Schizosaccharomyces pombe: one gene and its partner. Changing the gene in region 1 together with any one later gene gives a genetic interaction. Each region holds a gene or a part of one and is shown in the gene's direction. Other genes may lie near its edges. The genes, in order: ght2 and uge1.

What was found.
Region 2: mutations in ght2 (region 1) and uge1 impair growth when combined (synthetic growth defect), as found in Schizosaccharomyces pombe (one study listed by BioGRID).

What each region holds. Positions count from the first base shown.
Region 1 is NC_003423.3:3,424,999-3,430,080, forward strand, and holds ght2 (plasma membrane glucose/fructose:proton symporter Ght2), read left to right. Parts: upstream 1-2,161; 5' UTR 2,162-2,573; coding exon 2,574-4,169; 3' UTR 4,170-4,426; downstream 4,427-5,082. Other genes in the region: U1 snRNP-associated protein Prp39, read left to right, coding at 4,803-4,894, 4,942-5,082. UniProt on the Schizosaccharomyces pombe protein: High-affinity glucose transporter.
Region 2 is NC_003423.3:2,520,528-2,525,131, reverse strand, and holds uge1 (UDP-glucose 4-epimerase Uge1), read left to right. Parts: upstream 1-2,141; 5' UTR 2,142-2,206; coding exon 2,207-2,209; exon of another isoform or gene 2,210-2,276; coding exon 2,277-2,339; exon of another isoform or gene 2,340-2,380; intron 2,381-2,507; coding exon 2,508-3,509; 3' UTR 3,510-4,009; downstream 4,010-4,604. Other genes in the region: gamma tubulin complex GCP2 subunit Alp4, read right to left, coding at 1-1,071; Ran GTPase-binding protein Hba1, read left to right, coding at 4,362-4,604. UniProt on the Schizosaccharomyces pombe protein: Major UDP-glucose/-galactose 4-epimerase under glucose-rich conditions involved in protein galactosylation.

The sequences.
Region 1 (5,082 bases):
CTATTAAGAAATACAACAGCCGAGAACAGAAGAGCAGTCACAAACCATTTTTTATTCCACAATATTAGATTGTATTAACACAAATAAAATTTTTTTTTCAAGGCATTCTCTACAATATCGAAGACATTCAACGTATAAAGGTTAGTCTTGATTCAAATACTTACCCTTGTAATTTCAATTTAATGTTAGACAAAGTTATTGCCCCAACGTCTCTGGAAAACGCGGATGCAAATTGTGGAGGAGGCAGAACTGGAAAAAGTATCAGCCAATCATCAACATGTCTGAAAAAAAATTCCAAGATATTTCTAAGCCTAGCTCGTAAAAACGGGTGACAAGACATGTATGGCGCTATCGAAGTACGAAAATAGAAAATTGCCAGACGATATTAGAGTAAAAGACACAAAAAGAATTTCATTTATTCACCCTATTATAATTTTTCAGCTTTCATCAATGTATGCGTACTAACTAAAAAAATTATCGGTGGTCATTTAAAAACAACAAAACCATCCAGCATTCATCACATGTCTTTCATCCAATCAAATGTAGTTATAGCTATTATCGTCCAATAGATTGCAGAGGCGGGATCAAAATCCCCTTAGGCAAAATTGGTAGGCTTCTCCACAGTTTTTCTCAGACTTGGGAAGAATGGAGCGGGGTAGGGAAATATAGCAAGACCCTGTCTTACAATGATTGGGCAAAAGCTTCACATATATGGGAGCAATATATGTACAATAGGCGCTTTTCACGGACATAGCAAACCTTGTTAGTAATGAGTTGGGCGTATTTAAGGAGGTCCCAAGGCCTCAAAAGTCGTTTACCAAGTTCATAACTTTTTAGGGACTACGTTAGTTAGCGATGAATTAGTGATGATTTAGTGTGCAGCGTTTACATTTTCTTAACACAGACAATTGCAGTACGGGTTACAGCTCCATATTTCTTCTATAGTCCGAATGAAGTATGGGCGTACACGTAATCAAGGGATAGAAGTATCCTTTTACACCGAACTGTTCAAGAGCGAATATATCGCTTGAGAATTCTGTTTTTTTTTGAAAAGGTTCATTGTCCATCCATATTTACCTTCTTGTTAGGGAGTCTCGCTAGGATGGTTGGTGTCGCGGTCGATGTATGGTCTCCAGGTTGGGGGCCCCTAGCTATCCTGACTTGGATAGGACAGAGATAAGATACACGTTGCGTGACGTTTTCTTAAAAAAAAAGAGCACGGCTATGCTCTATTCATGTTACTAGTTAATACTAGAGGAACTCCGCATTTAGGTTAGTTCCGTTATGGACTCGAATATGTGGAGCTCGAGAATGCAAGCAATCGAAATTTGAAGGATTATGGTTCCGTAACGTTAATTGTTCTATTGCCAGCTTTGAGATAGTCATGCAGCGATGAGAGTATGCTGTGTTTTAAACTTTGATATTTGCTGGTTCCAATACGTATGGCCACCATTGGTATTATTTTTTCGCCTTGCGAATTAATTTTACTGCAGACACTTTACTTCTTTTGCCTCAGGAAACGTTTTTTTGTGTTCAATCTTGATTTAACGATATGAGGAGTATAGAAATATACTTGGTTTTTTCGGTTACTTTGCTAAAATTATTGACGTTGGAATACACTCTGTATTTGCTAGCAGTCCGAACTTGCAGCCTCGGTCGCCAAAGTATTTAAATTTACTTTACTTTTGAGAATTATTCCTACATCACATTTATTGAAAGTCGTTTTTTCATCCTGTTATCGGCTTTCTACCTCACTAATAGTGTCTTTCCCCAGTATATGCATCAGTTTCATTACGTACAGTGTATCATTTTACGATTGAATTTTTTTTTTTGCTATGGAGAATTAATGATATCGTGACATTTTTACCTCGTTCTTGACTTTCAACGAGCTGTTGATCCTCGTCATACACGTCGTTTAAATTCTATTCCACATCTTATTCGTTCTTATTTGTGTGTGACTGCGTTTTTTTAAGTCGGCGTCCAATGATACAAGAGTTTGCTAACTACCTTGTTGCCCTTGTAATATTGTGACGTATAACCAAAAACTCTCCGGCGATCCTGTCTAAAATTTCACTGAAAGCAAAGGACTTTTGATACTTTTGTCGGGGTTTCTCTTCCCGAATTTAGTATAAAAGCTGCCCTCTTGACTGTTAAAATCTTTACCTAGACCTATTCTTGCTTTTTAAGTGCAAGAGCAACTTTAGTCTTCATTTACCTAAAAATCCTTTCTTTTTTTGGTTAAACAAGAACGAAATCCAAAGAAAGCTCAATAAAAGCATTGTGCTTTCCTTGGTTACCCTTTCTTTATACCGATTTTGAAAATACAAGCTCTCTGTGCTTGAAAATCATAATCTAGATTAATTTTTCTTTTAATTTTTATTTATTGAGAATCTCTTGTCAAGATCTCTAACTCATAAACTGTCTGTTCTTTGTTCTATCATTTCTGCTTAACGTGTTGCAACTGAAATAGACGTGTGGTTAATTTTATTCAATCTTTTATTTTCCACTTACATCCTTTCTATAGAATTTTTGTTTTTTTTCATCTTTATTAGATTCCTTTATACTTTATCAAAATGGGGTTCAAGCGTGGAAAGAATTTTACCCTTGTTATGTTAATTTTCGTCTCCATGGCCGGTTGGATGTTTGGTGCTGATACCGGTTCCATTGGTGGTGTTACTAGTATGCGCGATTTTCGTGAGCGTTATGCTGATAGATATGACCCGATCACCGACCAGTATTCTTTGTCTTCGGCTCGTCAAGGTCTTTTAACTGGTATGGTTAACGTTGGTTCCTTGTTTGGATGTATCATTTCTTCTCCCATTGCCGATCGTTTTGGTAAGAGACTTTCTATCATTGGTTTTTGTGCTGTTTATATCATTGGTATCATCGTTCAAGTTACCGCTGTTCCCTCTTGGGTACAAATCATGGTTGCCAAGATTTGGACTGGTATTGGTATTGGCGCTCTTTCTGTCTTGGCTCCTGGATATCAATCAGAGACTGCTCCTCCCAGTATTCGTGGTACCGTCGTCGTCACTTATCAGTTGTTTGTCACTGGTGGAATTTTCATTGCCGCTTGTATCAATATGGGTACTCACAAACTTCATAAAACTGCCCAGTGGCGTGTTTCAATTGGTATTAATCTCCTTTGGGGTATCATTACCATGATTGGAATTCTCTTCCTTCCCGAATCCCCTCGTTATCTTATTCAAGTTGGCAAGGATGAAGAGGCTGTTAGAGTTCTTTCTGAAAGTGCTGAGCTTTTTCCTGATAGTGAGGAAGTTCAAAATGAATATCACCGTCTCAAATCATCTATTGACGAAGAATTTGCTGGTGGCCCTTGCAGCTGGGCAAGCATTTTCGGTAAAGACATTCGTTATCGTACTTTCCTTGGTATGTTTGTTATGTCGCTTCAACAATTGACCGGTAACAACTATTTCTTCTACTATGGTTTCTCAGTTATGCAAGGAGCTGGTATTAATTCTCCTTACCTATCTGCTATGATTCTTGATGCAGTTAATTTTGGCTGCACTTTTGGTGGTATGTATGTATTGGAAAGGTTTGGTCGTCGTAACCCTCTTATCATTGGTGGTATTTGGCAGTCAATTTGCTTTTTCATTTATTCAGCTGTCGGTTCTCGTGCTTTATATCATAAGAACGGTACTTCAAATACCCGTGCTGGTGCCGTTATGATTGTCATGGCATGTCTTTTCATTTTTGGATTTGCTCAAACTTGGGCTCCTGCCGCATACGTTATTGTTGGTGAGTCATACCCTGTTCGTTACCGCTCTAAGTGTGCTGCCGTCGCTACTGCTAGCAACTGGCTCTGGAATTTCCTAATTTCATTCTTTACTCCATTCATTCAAGCTTCTATTGGATTCAAGTACGGTTACGTTTTTGCTTCTTGTAATTTGACCGGTGCAATTGTTATTTTCTTGTTTGCTAAAGAGACTAAAGGTCTTACTTTGGAAGAAATTAATGAGTTGTATATGTCTGTCATCAAGCCCTGGGAATCTGGTAACTTTAAGCTTAACTATTCTGAGCAAAAGAAAGTTGAGAAAGAGAAATCCAGAAAGGGCGGTGCCCGTGGTGAGTCTGTTGAGTATGTTGAGCGTGCTTCAAACACTGACTCATCTCCACAATACTCTTCCCATGAGGAAGATTACGCATAAGGCAATAGCTAAACGTCTTTGTATGATTTATGAATTGTGTGAGGCAGCTAGATCCAAAATTTGTTGTTCCGATTCGTTGGGTCTATATATTATATTATTAGCTAAGTTTGGATTGATAATTTGTTAAGTTACTGTGCATCTTAAATCTAGTTTTTTGAGATTATGTTCGTTTGCATATAATATTAGATACATGTGCATTCTTTGTCCATTTTTGTGTTTTTGTGTTCATTATAGGAAATAATATTTTTTATACCTAATTAAGTTTTTGTTGATTCGTTGCTTAGTAGCTAAGTATTTCCAATGTTAATAAATATTTGTAAATGTTGAAGTGAGTCATGTTTATACAGTGATTTGTAGTTGAATTTTCATTATATTAGTAAGTCTGTTACAGAACAATAATCATTTTACGCTTGTGTATCGCCCAAATGTACTTTATTAGTTATTAATTTTTAAATCAGCGTTGCGGGCAGTGTCGTATTATTCTGTATGATACGATTCGGCAGACTAATGTACTGCACTAAACTAATATTGTAATTTATTTAAGTTCAACCGAATACGGCTGAAGAAAGTATATTTCGTTGCTGTTCGATATTTACATTTTATCCTTACGCGCTTTTATACTTGCGAACCAAAATGGATTATGGGGATATTTACATTGCAGAGGAAACAGAATGGGATAAATATAATCGTCAAATAAATAAAAATCCAGATGATTTTGATGCTTGGTAGGATGTTGTCAGATACAACTTATTTAGTGCTAATTATGATTTAGGGAAGGACTGGTTCGTGCTTCAGAACATCTTGAGGGAGGTGTTGGCAGAAACTCTTCGAAACAGGCTATCAATACATTAAGAAGTGTGTACGATCGATTCTTGGGAAAATATCCGCTATTGTTTGGTTATTGGAAGAAGTA
Region 2 (4,604 bases), 900 kb from region 1:
TGCAAAGAGTACCTTGTTTTGTAAATCAAGCAATTGTGGAGGAACTTGATCCTCTCGAATCACGTATCGTTTTTCCCAATATTCATCTGTGTAGTCTTCATCAAGTTGCATAGATGTGATTCCTTTGTGTATTTTTATCATAAATTCATCATATGGGTCATTTACGAGCCCGAGATGGATCCACTCATTCAACATTTTTGTATAAGGGCGTGAAGCTTCGCGCAATAAATAGGTTAGGATTTTTCGTGCCACAGGATCACCCGCATATTTCGTAAGACTTTCGGTCAAAAAAGAAATGACTTGCCCACCTTTACAAACCTTTTTCTTAGACCTAGTGGCATTAACAACATGTGAAATGTCATTTCCTTCATTAAGTTGCTCTAAAAGATCGTCGATGTTACTAAGACCTAAATCATCGCTGCTGGAAGCATTCTTTTCCATAGACAAAAGCAGGTCACGTAGAATTAAATACACTTGTCGTAATGAACGCGATGTGGGAAGAGTATAAAGGCGAAGAGTTTGAAGAGAAAAATTTGGATCAATTCGGCTCTGATTTTCACACTGCATGATAAGTACCACGTAGTCCATCACAAACTTTCGCAAAGCAGCGCACAATGCGTGGTTAACAAATCCGTATTCAAAATGGCTTCTCGATTCTATAAAAGCTGTGATACTTAAATAATGAGACCCCATCTCTAACATCTCAGAAGCAATATCCTTTATACCTAAATCAAATCCAGGAAGAATATAAAACGATGGCGGCATAATAATGGTTTCAAACTCAGAGGATGCTTTCATGTCTTGGAGATGTACAAATACACCCTCCATGCCCATAAATGCATTTAAGAGTTCGTTTATGAGACATGCTTCCTGCTGATGGATATTTAAGTTCGAAGGATCGCTAAAAGTCTTCCCATCGTAAAGATAATTTAATTGAATCCTATCAGAAAATGGAGAAACACCTTCACTCTTCAAAGAGACATGATAAACGCTCCCTTCCTCGAGAGCTGGAATTGGACTCCCATTCTCGCTTTCTTCTTTAGCAAGCACCGAACTAATCGATCTCACCATTTAAAGAGTCTTTTTTTATATAATCTACAAAAGTGTGAACATTTATTTAATATTTAGTGCTCTTTGTAATTATTATTCGGATATGCTTGTTTACCAGCAGGCCAGTTTTAAGATGTAGGTTGGTAAGTATGCGCCAGCTAACAATCAACGCAATTTCAAAGCAAACCAACTCAGGTCCGTGTAGCATTAAAAAATGCAAAAAAGTATAAAAAAAATTAGTCAAAAAATACATAACTAGAAGACTGCAGCATTTTCTATTGTAAGACTACCGTAAACTCAAAGGACCCCAAATACTCATTCGAGTATATATGGATAGCAGTAGACAGTGACAAATTCTATATGCTAGAGTTTATTTTGAATGGATAAAAATTTTAGATCCTAAGCTTGAGGGATTTATTCCCTTCATCTTTTTTTTTTTTTTTTTTTTTTTTTTTTTGTTGTGTTTAAATTTTTTATTCTAATGCAGACTACTTCGCTTTATTTACTAGCCAGTAGGTAATATTTGCATAATAAAAGCAATAAATTTAGCTCGGTTTTATGTTAATTATACATTTACTTGTTATTTCTTTAACAAAATAAATTTTTTCAAAAATACATATAAGCATCAATGATTTATTTACAGATAAAATGCTTTTCTAGGGAAGCAAGGATTTTGTAGTCGCATGAAGCTGGTGGTGAAATCACAAACATTACATCTATCAAAGTGTATATTGGTTGTAAAATCTCGAGTTCATCTTTTAAAAAAATAAATACAAAAAAAAAATTTATTGGTAAATGCACATACATTAAATTACTACCTCAATGCTTTATGAACATGAAAAATCCATACACCTAATCACAGGCATTCATCTGCTATACACTTATTCCGACGACCTCTTTGTTACTATATAATATTATGATTAGGAATTTTTTAGCGATATATCAATAAAATGGTTTAGCGAGATATACAAGCACTTTTCACTTTTAGCTTAAGCTTCATTGTGGCTTTTGCTCGTTTTACATCATGTCAGGTTACAGGAGGTAACGACCTGCATTGATACCTTGAGCATGTAGGAAACTGAATATCCAACAAAGAAAGAGCATAATAGCTACAGTCTTGAGCCCACCCCTTTAATATCAAATTATAACGTGTAAAATGGTATGAATAACTTTTTTAATTAATCAAAAGCATTCTTTTGTATGAAAATACTAATTATGATTCATAGACTGGTGTTCATGAAGGGACTGTGTTGGTTACTGGCGGCGCTGGTTATATAGGTTCTCATACGGTACGTAGAGAGCTTGAAGATACAGAAGAGGATTAGTAATGTACATGTAAATGTTTTAAGCACGCATCTTTTGTGAATATAGCTTGCTGCTCTTTACTTTTATACAATTTCGTCCATATTCTATAAAGCTCTTTTTTGAGATATTTTGCTAACCACAATCTGCAATAGTGCGTTGTTTTGTTAGAAAAAGGATATGATGTTGTAATTGTCGATAATTTATGCAATTCTCGCGTTGAAGCCGTGCACCGCATTGAAAAACTCACTGGGAAAAAAGTCATATTCCACCAGGTGGATTTGCTTGATGAGCCAGCTTTGGACAAGGTCTTCGCAAATCAAAACATATCTGCTGTCATTCATTTTGCTGGTCTCAAAGCAGTTGGTGAATCTGTACAGGTTCCTTTGAGTTATTACAAAAATAACATTTCCGGTACCATTAATTTAATAGAGTGCATGAAGAAGTATAATGTACGTGACTTCGTCTTTTCTTCATCTGCTACCGTGTATGGCGATCCTACTAGACCTGGTGGTACCATTCCTATTCCAGAGTCATGCCCTCGTGAAGGTACAAGCCCATATGGTCGCACAAAGCTTTTCATTGAAAATATCATTGAGGATGAGACCAAGGTGAACAAATCGCTTAATGCAGCTTTATTACGCTATTTTAATCCCGGAGGTGCTCATCCCTCTGGTGAACTCGGTGAAGATCCTCTTGGCATCCCTAATAACTTGCTTCCTTATATCGCGCAAGTTGCTGTAGGAAGATTGGATCATTTGAATGTATTTGGCGACGATTATCCCACATCTGACGGTACTCCAATTCGTGACTACATTCACGTATGCGATTTGGCAGAGGCTCATGTTGCTGCTCTCGATTACCTGCGCCAACATTTTGTTAGTTGCCGCCCTTGGAATTTGGGATCAGGAACTGGTAGTACTGTTTTTCAGGTGCTCAATGCGTTTTCGAAAGCTGTTGGAAGAGATCTTCCTTATAAGGTCACCCCTAGAAGAGCAGGGGACGTTGTTAACCTAACCGCCAACCCCACTCGCGCTAACGAGGAGTTAAAATGGAAAACCAGTCGTAGCATTTATGAAATTTGCGTTGACACTTGGAGATGGCAACAGAAGTATCCCTATGGCTTTGACCTGACCCATACCAAGACATATAAGTAAACCATACTCTTCCTTTTCGGATTAAGTGGGTTTTAAATAATTTCCTTCTCTTTCTTGATTCAAATTTGCATAATATGTTTTAGGACTTATGGATTCAAAGACATTATAATGTATTGTTTGATGAACCCTTTTCCCTTTCCTGTACCTTAATTGTTTATTGTAAGTGCGCTCGAGCTATCGATTAGGTCGCTAATAATACCGGTTTGCGAATAACTTATGTTTTAAAAGGGATTTAACAATGAAGCTTATTTCAAAACAATCACTTTCGGTTTACATTTTTATTTCTTTCTTTTGCATACGCATTTTCGTCAAGTTGACATTTTTTCTAATATTGAAGTTTCTTTATATTTCACCTTTTAATTGTATTTTTTTATTCAAAGGTTCTACTTTGTCAATCATTTTCAATTCCTATTTCGATATAGCTTAGATTTTACAATAATACTTGTTATAATACTGTCTATAACTTTTACGTTAGCCGAAGATTAGAAGTCAAGCACCGTATTGAAATCAAAATTATTAATAATGAGTAAGTGAATATATACCAAGGTTGAATGTTTTTTAACTTTTTAAATAGACAGTTATGAGATTTGCACTTCATGACATGCTAGATTAGCGTTTTTTTTCAAATGAATTTAAATTATTCGCAGCTGTTCAATGAATGTAATCGTATAATTAAATCTTAAATCTTTAAACAGCTGTGTGTTTGATTGAATCCACATTCGTCCTCATGTACTCATAGCTAGGTGAAATATATTAGGCTTTCAGTGATTCGGGATTCCAAACTACACTTAATACCCCCAACATCAAAAATTACGAAAATACGATTAAGCAAATAATATTTAAGTGGATATAATGACCAGCAAAATGGAAAATAATAAAGATGAAAGCATTTCTACCAAAAATGCGTTAGAAGAAAAATCGAACGAAACAAAAGACGAAACTTCAAAGCGAAAGCACGATCCGGCAGAAGAAGAATCAGCGGTTTCCACTAAAGTCTCGAAGAGTGAACCGCTGGAAGATAAAGGGAATGCTGAAGTTAAGGAATTTAAAGAGACTACGAAGAGCAATGGCGTAAAACCGGAGGTTGAGATTACT